2 linked regions of the Lepisosteus oculatus genome follow. The protein of the gene in region 1 purifies or fractionates together with the protein of each later gene. This does not show direct contact. Links are inferred from orthologs where the notes say so. Each region holds a gene or a part of one and is shown in the gene's direction. Other genes may lie near its edges.

Region 1 (7,418 bases):
TCCATCAGAGTCTAGCTCTGTGTTAGCCTATTGGAGATAGCAGATCTTTGCGAAATTAAATTAAATATGAAACTGGCTCCAAGAAAAATTATGGAATATTTTGTTTTGAACTTTTGGAAGTTCTGCATTTTAAAAATACTGTAGTTAGGTTGACATTCATAAACTCTTAGCTCCTGTCTTAGTTACAAAACTTTGTTATTGTTTGTTTTGTATCATAGCCTACATCACAATGAAGTGGATTATTTTACAATAATGATCACCTACACCTTCTTTAACTTTTGTTTTACAGAGGCAAACCACTGAATAGTGTATACATTTGTCTACACAATATATATTTTTACATATATTACTTTATGAATATAAAATATTAATATTTGCTAGGAAACATCTATGTGCATACGTGTATATTTGAATGTATATAGGTGAGTGAAAAGTACTGGAATCGTACACATTTTTTTTATTTTTATCTTCATTGAACATGTTATTGTTCATTTTGCATTGTTTTATAAGGAGCATAAATCCTTTTGTCTATGTGTGTATTTTATGAGTAAAACAGGTAATGAGAGCTTCCATGTGATAAATCAGAATCTGAACAGAGACAAAAGACATGAATGCAAGCAAGACCCATGAAGCATTGCAGATCAGATCAAAGGCACACGCGTCTTCACACCCACCTGGCCTTAATGGAATGGAATCGCTGAGTTGTGATTGAATAACCCCATGCAGTTTTCAACAGCAGGCACAAAGATCTCTAGGATTACATACAAGATGTCTACAGTTTCTGTCCACACTATGTGCTTCATTTGGTCAAGCTGTGTGCGATAAAACCATACTAGCTGTAGAAACGTTGCTCAGTGTTCTGGATTATTATTGTAGAAATCAGTTTCACAGATGTCAGTCAAAAAGCTGTCAGTTAAGAAGCCTCTTGAAAAAAAGAATTAGTACAGACATTCATCATTGTGCTAAAGGCTTTCTGCCTCTTAAATGGCATTTATCTGTAGAATAGAAATGTTATGTATTACTATATTTGCATTGACAATCATTTCAAATATACTTGACCAGAAATCATATATAATTGATCCATCCAATAAAAAATAAAATGAAAAACTGAATGAAATGCAGGTAAACAAATGTTCAAATACTAACTTTACGACATCAATAAATTATGGTAACATACAATAATATGTTAAGAATTTCCTGAGAAAATAGCAGACATAAAAAGATGAAGCTGAAAGCATACGAGAATGAGATTAAGGTGCAACTCTTATATAAATAAGCACATTTTGAAGTTCTTGTTTTGGAGTAGAATAAATTCTCAATTTGCAACTTGAAAATATTTGGCAGATTTTGGGGGACTTTATGTTATTATGGCTCAATTTCAATTTTCTTGGGAATTGCACTGTTTTTAAACTGAAGCTGAACTTCTGAAATAAGGTACTATGTTCAAGAATGCAGAATTAAAAATAACAGAATGTTGGAAGATCACCTTCACAGTACTGAAACATGACATGTTTTTCTTTCTTTAGCAGATTTGTAATTTTATCTTCCAATTTGTTGTGTCTACATTCAAGGTGACATACTGTAACACAACCAAAGGATTATAGTGGTGATTGTAGTGCTTTTTATTGAAAATAGTCCTTCGTTTACCCAACATCAGACTGATTTAGCTGAATAATTTGATTACCGTTGAAAACATAAAGGCTACATATGATTAGCTTCTGTTCTCTCAAAATAAAAATGATTCTGGCAAGCATTTTACTCACAGGTCAATAGCTGTCCCCCAGACACTGTGAGGAACAATAACAAATAGCAAAATAAAAATATATATAATTACATTTTCCATCATTATGAAATAAGACAGCCATCTGTGTATGCCTAGAAATAAACATTTTGTATTTAAGTTAGACCATACAGTAATTCACTTATTTACAGGTGACATTTGCAAGTCTGTATAAAATTGATTAAATCATTTTAAATATAGTTACCTAAATCCACATTTTGATGATGCAACAACTTAGTTTTAGATTTCCCCTTTTTGAACCATGTGATGCTTACATTTTTTTCCTGCAGTATTAACAGTTATTAAAAATGTATCTGGTAAGCAGAAGTGCTGTTTCTTATAGCCCGTGCAAGATTAAGTCAAGGGAAATCTGTAAAGCACTCTCTAATGACTTACACTCTCACTCACTCTTACCTGATCATTGTAACCTGAAATCTGCAGTTTCCGGGCCAGCTACGTATCCCCCTGCTCTTGGATGCGTCTACCTAGGCACCGATTGCTCTGGGAGTTAATTACAGTGAAAGACAAACAGAATTACAGTGAATGTGTAGTAAAGCAAAGTTAAATTATGTGAAAGTGCATTTTATACCACAAAACAAGAAGAACTTCTTTACGCAAAGGGTTGTGGGACTTTGGAACAAGTTACACAATCATGTTGTTGAAGCCAATACTTTGATCCTCATCAGTTACTGTAGCTACTAAGAGCCGGCTGGGACTCTCATTTTTTTAAAACCCATCTCATATTCTTATGTTCCAGTTGTGCTCAAACCAAGGTAAGGCAGAAAAGTACAGTAAGTAAATCCTGACATGCAAGAAACTATGACAAAGTAAATGTATGGTACAAGCATGGTAAAACAATGGGAAAAAAATCCAAAATAAAACACAAATCTGCCATATTAACATTTCCAAAATGTATGCTGGGATATCTATACATATTTGTTTATACATTATACAATAGACAATATGGAGGTCTGGCATTGTTTAAAGAATAATTTAATTTATAAGATGTAACCAAACAAGGAAAATGCATTGAATGGATGTCCAGCTCTAGTCTGATACTTTTCATGTAAATGCAGATAACAGCAACAGAGGGTAAGATTTCCAAAAGGAATTTATATAATAACATTATACCCAGTTTATACAGTACATTTAGTTATGCAAAGCATAGGGAAATTTCTCCATTCATCTTTACCCTTAGATCATGTTGAGCTGGAGCCTTATGTGGTTGGCACACAGCACAGTACAGGACTACACTTTGGATGCGACACAACACCATCACAGGACACACACATACACATTTCACATTAATTCTCATGGGGGGTGGGGTTATTTACCTTGAAAGCCTGTCTTTGGACTGTGGGATGAAACTGGACCACCTGGAATAACTTTTAAAAGTGAGCTTTTAAAAGCACACACCCCAGCTATAGACTGTATGATCCGCTACCATCTGGAAAACGGTACCGGAGCATTCGGGTCCGGACTACCAGACTCAGAAACAGTTTTTATCCCCGCACTATCAAACTATTAAACTCCCAGCCTCTCTCACTCTCACCTCACCTCTCACCTATGATCTGAACCTCACAGTGCCTTCTTTCTTACAAAAACCCAAACATACATTGAAAATCTACCTCTACCATACATGTCAAACGCTCACTCCCCATCATTTCTATCCCTTTATTTCATTCTGTTGATGCATGTTTTTGCACATAACCTGTTACCTTTTTGTTGTTTTGTACATTGCCTGTTGTTGTTTTTTGCACATTGCCTGTTGTTGTTTTTGCACATCACCTGTAGTTGTTTTTGCACATCACCTGTTGTCTCTGTCCTTCTTTTGTTATACAGTTGTATTGTTGTTGTTGTTTTTTCTTTGTACTACTTATGTCAGAGAGGTAGCTAAATAGCATTTCGTTATACCATATACCTGTATATGAGTATAATGACAATAAACTTGAACTCGAACTTGAACTTGAACTAAAAGGAGAACATGTAAACTTTGAACCCGGGATCCTGAGCTGTGAAGCACCAGCAGTTCCTACAAATTCCTCAAAATAAAAAAATGCATCAGTGAAAGGACAAACAACCCCATAGTGAGGACATATTTTGCATCAGTTGTTGCAATATATGTATATTATAAGCACAAACTATTTACTCAAATCCCCCACTAGTTACTGTATAACAACGTTGACATTTTAGATGAGAAAAAAAACAAGCTAGTTATTTAGTAATATTTAAAGTAAATTCCTCACCACATACCCATTAAGTAGAACAAGTGTTAGATCAAAACGACTTAAGGTTCAGTCAGGAATTTACAAGGTGTCTTTCTGCATAAAGAAGTAAAAGCGCTGAAAAGAATAAGTCTGCTTGTCCTGGTGAAATTTTAACTTTGTTAACGAAAAGTAATGTTTGGTTCTGTTACTAGTTTAAAGTTTACGTTTTAGAAATACGACTAAACGTTATCTGAGCGAAAAAGGAGGTGTCTGTACCATAAAGATGTGGACATTTTTCATTCAGAGATCAGATAAGAACTGTTTTGCTGTTATATTTCTTACTAGTCAATTTCTTCCAAAAGGTGACTTTCCAAAATACAGTACTTGCCATTTCTACACATTCCGAAGACGTACTTACAGCAGCGGTTAAGATTAAAGAATAAAACAACTTTTTAAACCGCTGTGTATAATTAATATTCACGCGACTTAAAGAGGTAAATATAATCAGGCTATGCACATATCGTGCTTGACTACAGTTGTGTATTGCAGACATATTGACATCTGAAGTAACGACTACTGTATTTTGGTAACGACAATGTATGTTTTTGTAATTTGTCGAAAAATATGCGTATCAAACTACGGCATCGAGTTTTGTGATACAGTGTATACATTTACCAGACTTTTATTATATAATAGCAAGTAGTCTAGGAGGCCTACTGACGTTTTATTTTACTGTGAGCTGATATTGCCTGAACTCTTACCTCTCTATATTGGTTACACGTACACATTTAAAAACAGCGTTACACGGTGATATGTTGTAATTTAATTTGTCAGTATAAAAAAGTAAAGCAATCTTCTCATCCAGAAGATGAGGAGATGAGGGAAGATTTAACTAAGAAGCAAATAAATGATACGATTAATACTGCTAAATCCATAACCATTTCACAACTTGATCGTTGAATTGGCCCTGAGAAAATTAATAAACCAGTCTGATGCAACATTTCAACATTGACCCTACTGGCAAATTCAACACATTACCTCTTCCTTTGTATTTCAATGTTATTGAACCCGATGCAGCGTATACTTGGGTTTCTACCTGATATTGAGTCGGGGTTATTTAAATACTGTTTTGCTAAATTTGCATTATGTTCTAACCTGATGATCAGGTTACAATCTGGGCAATATTCAACTAGTTCTCTCTGAAAAGCTCTCCGACATAAACTGGCAGTTAAGACGTGATATCTTCTTCGGAGACCTTAATATTATTAATACCGTACTTAATGAGGTTGGGTGGCAACATAGATAAAATACAGAGTAGTGTTTGTATTCTCTGGGGGTAAAGATTCATCAGCACCTGGCTTTTTTAAATTTGCATAAGGGAAAAAAATATCTGTAGGCTTTTAAATTATTTTCTTAAATGTGGACCTCAAGGTACTTGAACTTCACACTCAGCAGTATAAGAAAAAAACGATACAACTTTTGTATTGCCTAATTTTCATTACAAGAATAGCAGAATTAAAGATAAATTTCGCTGATGATTAAAAATGATTGTGGTTTCCATAGTACTGTTACCACTACTTCCAGCGAGAGGGGTGGAGGCAGTTTAACTGAAGGTTTCAAGTGCGAGATAATGCCGGGACATATTATATTAATCACCTAACGTTTTTCTGTTGTAATGACTTTTCCGGTTAGCAGTTGTAATATGTCAGTTTTGTGTTTTTTTTTCTAATTTTCAAGAAACTCCATGTTTAAAGAAAAACATCTGTGCTCCAGGCTCTCAGCAAATCGACAGCCTCCCTTAGAAATAACGACACCCTTTACTACGTTGATCTGGACAGAAACCTATCCCAGCATGCCTGACAGCAGGCAGGAAAGGACGATGAAGCAAAGATGGCAGCACTGAGGGTGCAGTCTGTACGGGGTCAAGAAAAACACAAGGAGCAAACGAAAACAAAGGACGACATAGCACGCAATTAAAAAGTAATAGGAATTGTCATCCGACCCAACAGAACAATATGGCTTGAAATGTTGAAAACCCGGAGTCAATGAATGAATTACCGTACTAAAAAGGAAGGGTATTTCGCATTTGCACCAGGGAGTGTATATACATTTTATGCTGTTCAAATTGGAGCTTGTGGATGTAATGACTTTTTTGTCGCTGTGTTCAAAGGATTTATCCGCTAGATGTACTGTGCTTTTGTTGACAGAGGGAAATAATTATTTATAAATGATTTCGTGGTAATATATATGAATTATTCCAAAATAGGATGATGTGTGCTGCTGCGGCAGCGGGTGCCTGTGGGCTGCTGTCTTCCTCTACTCCTCCCGTGGGGTTGGGTGTCGGGGTCAGTTCTGGAGTCGGATCGGATTTTTCTGGGATTGGATCAAGTATGGGTTCGTGCCCCGGTCCCGGGACCCAGTCAGATTGTCGGAGCCGGTACCAATTACTCCTCTCGGGGAGAGCTTTGGCGGAAAGATACCGGCGGATTTACACCGCAGCGATCAGTGACAAAGAGCAGGGGATAAACCCGGGGAGGTAAGTTCTGATGTTGGAACATATATCGTTACGGATACGTTCGTGTGCGGTTAGACTACCTCTCCTTTCGGGTGCAGCTAAATTCCCATTTACTTAGCTTTGACTGTGCATGCATTTTTGTTTTTACTCTTGTTTTTTGAATGTATTATTTTGCACGGCATTGCACTGTTTTAGGTGTGTGGTCATGTCAAATGTGATTAGCTCTTTTACAAAATGACAAGTGTTGGGTCGGTGCTGTGTAATTGTCAGTTGTAATTAGCATCTTCCGGGTTGTGACGGTCTTGACGAGGTGCCCGCGGTTTGAGTCGTGTGGGCCCAACATCATGGGGCCGGAGTTCCCAGCCCTGCCCCGCAGATTGCTTTCATGAGAGCAGTTGTCGGTGACGGAGCCATGCGGGGACAGGAGAGAATGGTTCCACTGTTGGAATTTGTTAATGTAATGGAAACCTAAGTGCAACTAAAGCGGGGCTTTAAAAACGGATGTGTTTCTTTCAAAACGCACGGTGGTATTTTTAGCGTACGAATCGGGCGCAGACTACAAAAACATATTCAGGAGGCTCTAGTTCAACCCCCTTGAAATGCTTGAAGCTTTCAGTTTCTATTACTATTAAATGAAACGAGGCCTTTTTTTTTTCGAATGGCAAATGGGAATATAAAGTCCCCGTCCCATGGAAAGAGAAAGCTACGGTATATTCATATCCTCGTCGTTACCAATAGGTTAGATCGCTTTTCCAGCACACCTCATACCGTTGTGTGCTTCTGGTCAGGGGTTTAGTGAAAGGAAAGAGCAAATCGATTGCTCTTGTTATAATCGGTACGCAAGATGACTGCTACATCATCACGTGAAAAACGATGCTTATGACAGCGTACCCTCAATAGTGCTCTAAATCCCCCC
Region 2 (7,893 bases), on another chromosome or scaffold:
GTTAGCGATAGCTCAGGCGGAAAGTAAATCAAAACCTGCTGTCTGACATCCTGTGATGGAGACAGAAAAGGGGCATTTCTTCTTCGGCCGCGCTTCCTGTTTCCTTCCAGTCGTGCCTCACGCCGACTGCCCAGACTCCACGCCTCAGGGAAACCTCCCGGCTCCATGACCTCCGGGTGACTTCTGGCCTTATCCAATCTCAACATGCAGGCAGGGCTCCATATTCCGTCTGGAGATGCCAGCTTTCCCGACCTGCCTGAAGACTTCCTCCCCTCTGGAATCTAGAAATTCTAGATTTCTTTGCACAGTATTTTGCACTATTGCTGCTGTTGGTTTTGCAAAAGGTTTGTTTTGACGCCGGCATGGCAAACAAAGGCACGTAGCCAGAAACAGAACACACGCAACAGAATCGCACACATGCTGCGGAACGGGACGGAAAAGGCTCGGCACTGCTCGGCAGCTGATGCATTTTTAACTACGGCACACACGGCTATGCTTCCAGATGCAAGGCTTGTGCAACTGCAAAATCCCGTGGCATGCTTTAATATTTATGCATTGCTGCACACTCGCCTCTTCAATGAAGCAAGATGCGATGCAATGCCAGGCTCAAGGCCCAAGTTAAAACTGACTTGTCTTTATAATAATCAGCCACCTCACACTCTTTCCTCCTGCGCTGGCCACACAACACTTTTATAAAGCACAGACAAAAGCTCTATCCCAGGGGAGGTGGGAAATGGTTAGCCCACATGATACTTGTGCTTACCTGACCATATTTAAGCACAAGACACCATTAGCTATTCTTGGATGCTGTAAAAACCTCTCTCACACACACAACATCTCAGCACTGTCCGTGTCTGGCCAACAAATTTAGGTTAACAAATACATTATAATCTAAGCATGGGGCATAATGGTGATACCTCTAATAATGTAGCATGAATGTGAAGTATCCAGAGATTAAAGCAAACAGCTCTAAAACTTTCTTACGGGAAAAGAAAAATGCTGTTTGTTTCAGAACTGAAAAGGCAAAAGAATTTACAGCTGTTGTTCAAAAGTCCCTAACTTTCCGTCGACGTGCGCCACAGTGAACTGCGTGCTACATTTTGTGGAGACGTTAAAAGCAAATGTGAACCGAGACCATTAATCAGAAGAGCACACGGCAGAGCTCAGTGCCGAGGACTTGAAAAGCGGTGACTGGGCAGAGCCAGAACGATCATCACCTGATCGATTCCAGCAGCCTGCCGGTTGCCTACACTCTCGGGAGACACACGCATCTCGGATCACAGTTTCGTGTAAAACCTCGTTCTTCGCAGCACTGATGCAGGCTGCCAAAGCGGTAAAGAAAACCGGCTGAACCCGCTTGCCGGTAATTGAAACGCAAGGCTGGCAGCTGATGCAGGGAGTTCTGACTTTTCCCATCAAACAGGAGGGAGCTGAGCTGTCATCTAACAGGCAGAGAAATAAAATCTGCTTTCCTTGGATAAACAGACAGATGGCTTCTTCCTCAAATAAGGCACATGAGTAGTAGTATCTAAACTTCAGTAAATAAAAATACTGACACATTTGCCCTTTGCAGACACTACCGATGTATAGGTGTAATGAGTAATGGGCTTCAGACATGTTTCTCCATACTGTCAGCACACTCCAGTAATGAATACAGAATACATATTATTAACATTTAAATTGTGAAATGGACGGAAAGATGGATTTCTCAATAGCAAATCATGTCTAAAATAGTATGCATTTTACAGTAAAGCTTGGACTAAAGAGTAAAGAATTTAACTCCCAAGATCTTACTGATGAGCATGTCAGCAGTTAGTCATCATTCACATACCAAAAAATAACCGGACACCAGCTTGTGCTGAAGCTGAGATTGCTGTGAACTTGAAAGGCGACCTCATGATAACCCTGGAATTTAGGGGAGAGAGTTGTACTGCAATGTTGAAATCCGCAGCAAGAAAGACGCTTATTAATGTTATTTTCAGCAGTGTGCACATTAAAAAATAACATTTGGTAACCGCAAACAAAACATTGATTGAGCATTAAGTGTAAACAGACTGGCGCTGCTTCAGTATAAAATTCAACAGCACGTAAACCTACAACAGTCAAACAGCTCGGGACCTAGTCATACTGCCTTAAAAATCTCACGAGGTGAGTACAAAGGTAAGGACACAAAGCAAACCACCTCATCCGAGCACTAAAAACGCAGACATCTTTATCCAGCAAGCAGAATCTGTTCTCACCACAAACGTCTAAACTAGTGAGGACACCTGAGCTCTATTTGTGACCCTCGAAGTCGTGAAGTTCGTTTTCCTGATTTGCCTAACGCGCCTAAGGGAAGCCCAAACCTTCACTGCCGCCGATTTAATGCGGACTCGTTCAAATGTAAAATGTACACCTTGTCCAAAGCACCATTTTATTAGTTTATGTAGAAGTGAAACAACTGCGCCCATACACTCATCAATCCAATATTTACAAAGAACACAGGAAAGTGGCACTTTGCACTAAAAGGTTTTTTTTTTTAAGAGGGGGGGCTGGTTGCCCTCATCGGTAGCTAACAATATATTAAGCGCACTGCCTCCATCCCACGCATTATTCTCGGTGCGTGACCGTGGGTAACCTTATTAGTTGGATACTACTGGTGTCCAGATCGGCGATTTGTGTTGAAGTTTTTCGACAAGCCGACTGCGCGTCCAGGTCAGCTATCCGCTCCGATTCGGGTTCACATCGTGTCGAGCTCTTCCCTGCTTATCGGGACGGTGCGAAGCAAATTGCGGGAGGTTACACGCATTTTAAGCCAGGTACGGCGACAACCATGAGGCTCCATTGGTGCTGTAAGGCAATCGGACAGCACAGGCCGCAGGGAGGAATTGCAAAGCAGCCTCAGCATCTCGTATCCCTCGGTTATTCTGTATCCCATTCACCCTTCAACCCACCCTGCCTCGAAGTATCCAGCACTTGCAACAGGTACGACACAAAGACACGCATAGCACTGCTAGTATTTGCAACGAAGCATGATACTTACGTTTTTTAGGCTTGCTCAACCGATTTTCCTTTTCCTGTCTCTTCTTTCCCTCTGGTATTGTTATATATTTTTCTCGTCTCTTGTGTCTCCCCTTTCCTCTCTGTCTAGAACTGCTGCGCACCAACCAAACCTACATCAGCAAACGTCACTTCCGACTAGTGGCAACTGAAGCCGGACCTGGGTCATGTGACAGGTGTCTGGGATATTATTTGTTCTGGTTATGTGACAATAATCTGTGACTTTGTGGGTTCCGGTCCTAGAGAATTAGAAATGTCTTAATGCACAGGGAGAATTATTAACAAAAAATAAAAACTGTGCTTTGACTCTTGATTACGGTCGGAAATATTGCGACAGTGTCTGAAATAGAAATAAAAAATGAAATTATTGCCTTCAGGTGATTATGAGCTTTCCGAGCAGTAACACTCATAACATTCCTCCAGTGAAAAGATTGAAACATAGCATTTTGTACTTATTTAATGACAAGAGCAGCGTGTCTGAGCAGTGGATTCTACAGACATGTTACTGCACTCAGGAAATCCAAATCACCCTGTGTGTGGAGCATGCTTTTTGGTTGAACAAGACCCAAATTCCAAGTGGGAATAAATGTCTGCCTCAGTGATCCCTTGTATCCAGCAGGAGGTTGTAATTGTCAGTTTCATTTAAGTCCAGAAGGAGAACAAAAATACTAAACAAGTCTGAAGCCATCAGCCATTCATTAAATACCTTAACACAAGCTCTTTTCAATTCTTCGGGTAAACAAAAAGGAAACGTTCAAAGAGCTCATCACCTTTAACTGCCCACTCCATAATTTTTGCAAGAAGGGACACATTGTAAATAGGGTTGTGGTTGTTAGCTACTTGGAGTTCCAGACCTGGTTTGGCACAGGTGTGATAGCAGAACACTATCTGCAGATACAAGACCAGATTGCAGAAATTCTTTGAAAAGCTTAGTAAGAGGACAAAGAGCAGAGAAGCCATATCTGAGCAGGGGCCAGCAAATAGTTATTAATTAAATCATTTTTATGTGTTTAGTTGTGAAAGAACAGCTTGCCAAATAATAAGGCACAGGTAAAATTACAATAAAAGTGGGTTACTCATCTTATTTGGGTTGTTCAGTAGTTAGAAGCTAATTCATCAAAGGATCTAATTCAGCCATTAGATGAAAGAACCCAGGACACCATCTTCAATAATATAGCTGCCTAGCTTGTTCTAAACTCCCACAATCCTCTGTGTACAGACATTCCCCCAGTACTCAGTTTTATGGACCTTGTTATTTCCAGTTTATGTTCACTGGTTCATGGTTCACTGTATATTCAGGAAAAAGACCTTGTCAAAGGCTTTGACAATTTTGAAAACTTGAATTAGGTCCCCTCATAGCCTTTTCTGTTGAAGACAGAGAAACTCTTTAAACTTGTCATTACAGGACATGTTTCGGGCCAGGAATGTGTTTGGTTGCTCTGAACCACTGAAGCCCAGCATTCCACAGCAGTAAAATATGATTCTATAGTGGTGACCAAATTTATGCACAGTATTTTAAATTAGGTCTTACTAGTGCGTTGCGCAATTTTAATATAACATACCTGGATTGAATTTTTACACTTCTTAAAGTCTACATTCATTCCAAAGGGTTAATCTCATTTAAAACGAGCCAAGTCAAGCGGAGCACAGAGACGGAATTTTTTACTCTTGCTGTGCAGCAAATGAGACACTCCCACTTGTGTTTACGGTAGCTGACCAGGCGTCTTCATGGGGTCCTAACAGGGGTGTAAAAGGACAAATGATTATACCCTCAAGTGAAATACGAAGAACTTACTGATTGACTCGGAAAATGCAATTCCTTCAGTACTCATTTTATGGCACGATAATAAACGAGTCGATGCTGACGGCTTCTTCGCGCTCCTCCGGTTTTACGTCTGTATACTAGCGTCTTAACAGGACCCTTGGTTTTGTTGGTCTGTTTCCTCCCCGCTTTCAGTGTGCGTGTAAGTGACTGGATCTGTATTCTGCACCGGCTGTGTCCCGGTTCCGATCCGGTCTCGCACAGCCTGCGAGTTTGCATTTTGCATTTTGGAATTTTCTCCCTCCGACTCGCTGCCTTGGTGACCTGCCTGTCTCTGTGGGGTTTATTTTGTGCTATAGGATGTCGGGAGCGGCGGCCGGAGGGGCGTCTTTCTCCACAGGGACAGCTGCTCCGAGCGCTGGCACAGCCGCCGGGGCAGGGGTTGCAGGCAGGTTGCCTTGCCGGGTTTTGGAGCATGTGTTCTCCTACCTGGAGCTGCGGGACCTGCTCCGCTGCGCATTGGTGTGCAGACACTGGCACCGATGCCTCAGCGCCGACGAGAACAGCGAGGTCTATCGGAGCCTGTGCGTCCGCACGCTGGGGGAAGAGGCGCTGCGCTCGGATATTCTCTGCAACCTGCCCACCTACAAAGGAAAGGTAAACATTGGGTCTGACACTGTCATAGAGTATAGCCGCACTATTAACGCGATTTCATTCCAAGTAAAGTGTCTGGCTGTCGTTTTGTTTTTGACATCAGTGCGAAGGCGTACTCGGTACATCGGAGATTGTGTTTAAATCGTCCTTTTTGTCTCCCCTAGCGCATCTTTAAAACCCAGCTCTTGGCCTAACCAGTGTGCTTTTAATCGCGGAACAAATTCAGCATGCTAGCACCTGAAATGTAATGACTGGGGGCAGTTTAGTTCATCTAATAATGTCGCGTTTAGAGTACGGACAGTCGGACGTTTAAGTTTAAACACTTGGGCGTTACTGTTAGTTTCTTAGGCCCTTACAAAGGGACATTGGGTTACCCTGATACAGGCTGTCGGGTATATTATCTATTACAAGTTAATTTTAGAGACTGTTGAAATGTTTACATATAGTTCAAGTAGGGAGCTGCGTCAGCATGTGTAGGCTTAAAGTTAAAGGTTTATTCCTTGCTGAAAAGAGAAGAAAGGAAATGCAACGTTTCACTTGTGTAGCCTTCTTCACACCCGAAACAGCCGAAACGTTGTGTTTCCTTCCTTCTCTTTTCAGCATGGGATAGACATTTACATTTGTTTAATCCAAGCTGTGAAACGTAAAGATGGATCAGTAAACTGGAGGACGGCGGTGTTGTGCGTCTCACTAACTGCCCGTCTGGAACCCCTGGTGGTTTATCTGGTGTGAGAAGTTCTGTCTGATCTGGGTCAGGCTGTTCAATAGCCACAGTCAGGGTTTGGTAAAAGCAAATTTGGCAGATTAATACATTTGACGATAACTCACCAGTAGCCTGTTACAATCTGAAGTATGTGTTTGCTCGCAGTTATGTGAGTAAAATATATTTTTTACCATTTAGGACAATACTATTTTTTATTCACCACCTTGGATAAATTTACGTGGCATATTTTTAGTAAGCCTTACTGGTAAAATAAAGCAGTTTGGGGTGAAAAATAACATACAAAAAGCTGATGGGGAACATGCTCTTCTGAGCAGTAGTGCTTTGCTATCCATTCATTATCTAACCACTATATCCAGTACATGGCTGGACCCTTTCCCAGCAAGCAACAGGTGCAAGGCAGAACACACACTGAATGGGACACCAGTCCATCACAGGGCATACACAGACATACACTCACACCAGGGCCAGTTTTCCCAGAAGTCAGTTCACCTACCAGTATGTTTATGGACTGTTGGAAGAAAACCATACAAACCTGGGGAGAACATACAAACTCCTCACAGATAGCACCCCAGGAATTAAACCCCAACGCTGTGAGGCAGCAGTGCTGACCACTGCACCACTGTGTTGTCCTCTGGTCATTTTCCTTTCGTCTGTGTGACTCAAGCACGCCATTAAACCTTCACCTAAAATGTTTTCAGCCTCTTTGCTTCTACTACACGCATGTCCTGATAATGCAGAAATATTTCTCGTTTTTTTCCTCATATTGTTGTGAAGCTGGCTTCTATTTGGTTTCTAATTATGTCATTCCATCCTATTTGATGAACTTAAAATAATCCCTGGGATCTCTTTTATTAATACACCTTCAGTTTGGAGATATGTGGATAGACAACAAAGTGTCAAAATACATTACTGTGCAAAACTTGGGATTATTTATCATATTTTGCAGTTCAAAATGTGCTACTATTATAGTTATACATTTAAGAACTGAGGTGGAAACTAGCATGCTATAAATCTTGATTGGCCACCTAAAAATCTGATTGAGGCCATGTGGGATTTTTCCGGAGTCAGGAGAAAAAGAGGAGTTCAACAAACTCAGACAAGTGGAATGTTTTTCAAGGCATTTGATTTACAGTTCTCATTACAGTACTCCAGTTGGTTCAGTGGAAACATGACTAAAACACAAGGGGCCAAAAAAAGTGTGGAAAAATTAAGGGAAGGGGAAAATTCTTGACCTACTCTAATAACATTTTTGGCACCCAGAAATATTTTTTTTTCTCCCCTCTGCTGTTCATGTCTTAATCGGGTCAACTGGACCAAATCATCACGGTGGGTCGCTGTATTGAGACTAGTTGAAGCACACCAGCCCCCGGACGTCACTGATGCCTGTGACATCAGTTATACTGGTCCCAGAACTGGGACCTGCAGGGTGGAGAAACGTCACTTCCCATCAGTGGGGCTGTGGCTGTGTGGCACAGCATGTCGGCTCTTGGCTAGAGACATGTGTGACGGTCAGAAATAGTCTCCAGATAAACTGTGGAAATTACACACTATAAGATAACTGAGCAGCAGCTTGGTCTGGAAAAGCTGAACTGACATATCTTCCGGGTGATGTTTTGGATATCAAGGCATTCTAAACGGATTGCAAGACTGTCTTTTTTTATTCGTCTTAAGTTAAGTGAATAACTAACGTCTTCGAGTTAAGTGAATAATAACA

The links. The genes of interacting proteins can lie anywhere in the genome.
Region 2: the proteins of mycbp2 (region 1) and fbxo45 purify together in Homo sapiens (affinity purification with western blotting; 7 studies listed by BioGRID and IntAct, with this or other methods). This does not show direct contact. The link is inferred for Lepisosteus oculatus from reciprocal best matches to the Homo sapiens genes MYCBP2 and FBXO45.

What each region holds. Positions count from the first base shown.
Region 1 is NC_090710.1:17,051,389-17,058,806, forward strand, and holds the start of mycbp2 (E3 ubiquitin-protein ligase MYCBP2), read left to right. Parts: upstream 1-4,406; 5' UTR 4,407-4,481; intron 4,482-5,025; exon of another isoform or gene 5,026-5,203; intron 5,204-5,724; 5' UTR 5,725-5,967; exon of another isoform or gene 5,968-6,253; 5' UTR 6,254-6,254; coding exon 6,255-6,523; intron 6,524-7,418. UniProt on the Homo sapiens protein: Atypical E3 ubiquitin-protein ligase which specifically mediates ubiquitination of threonine and serine residues on target proteins, instead of ubiquitinating lysine residues.
Region 2 is NC_090708.1:21,112,256-21,120,148, reverse strand, and holds the start of fbxo45 (F-box/SPRY domain-containing protein 1), read left to right. Parts: upstream 1-4,875; 5' UTR 4,876-5,161; coding exon 5,162-5,458; intron 5,459-7,893. UniProt on the Homo sapiens protein: Component of E3 ubiquitin ligase complex consisting of FBXO45, MYCBP2 and SKP1. Functions in substrate recognition but also plays an important role in assembly of the complex.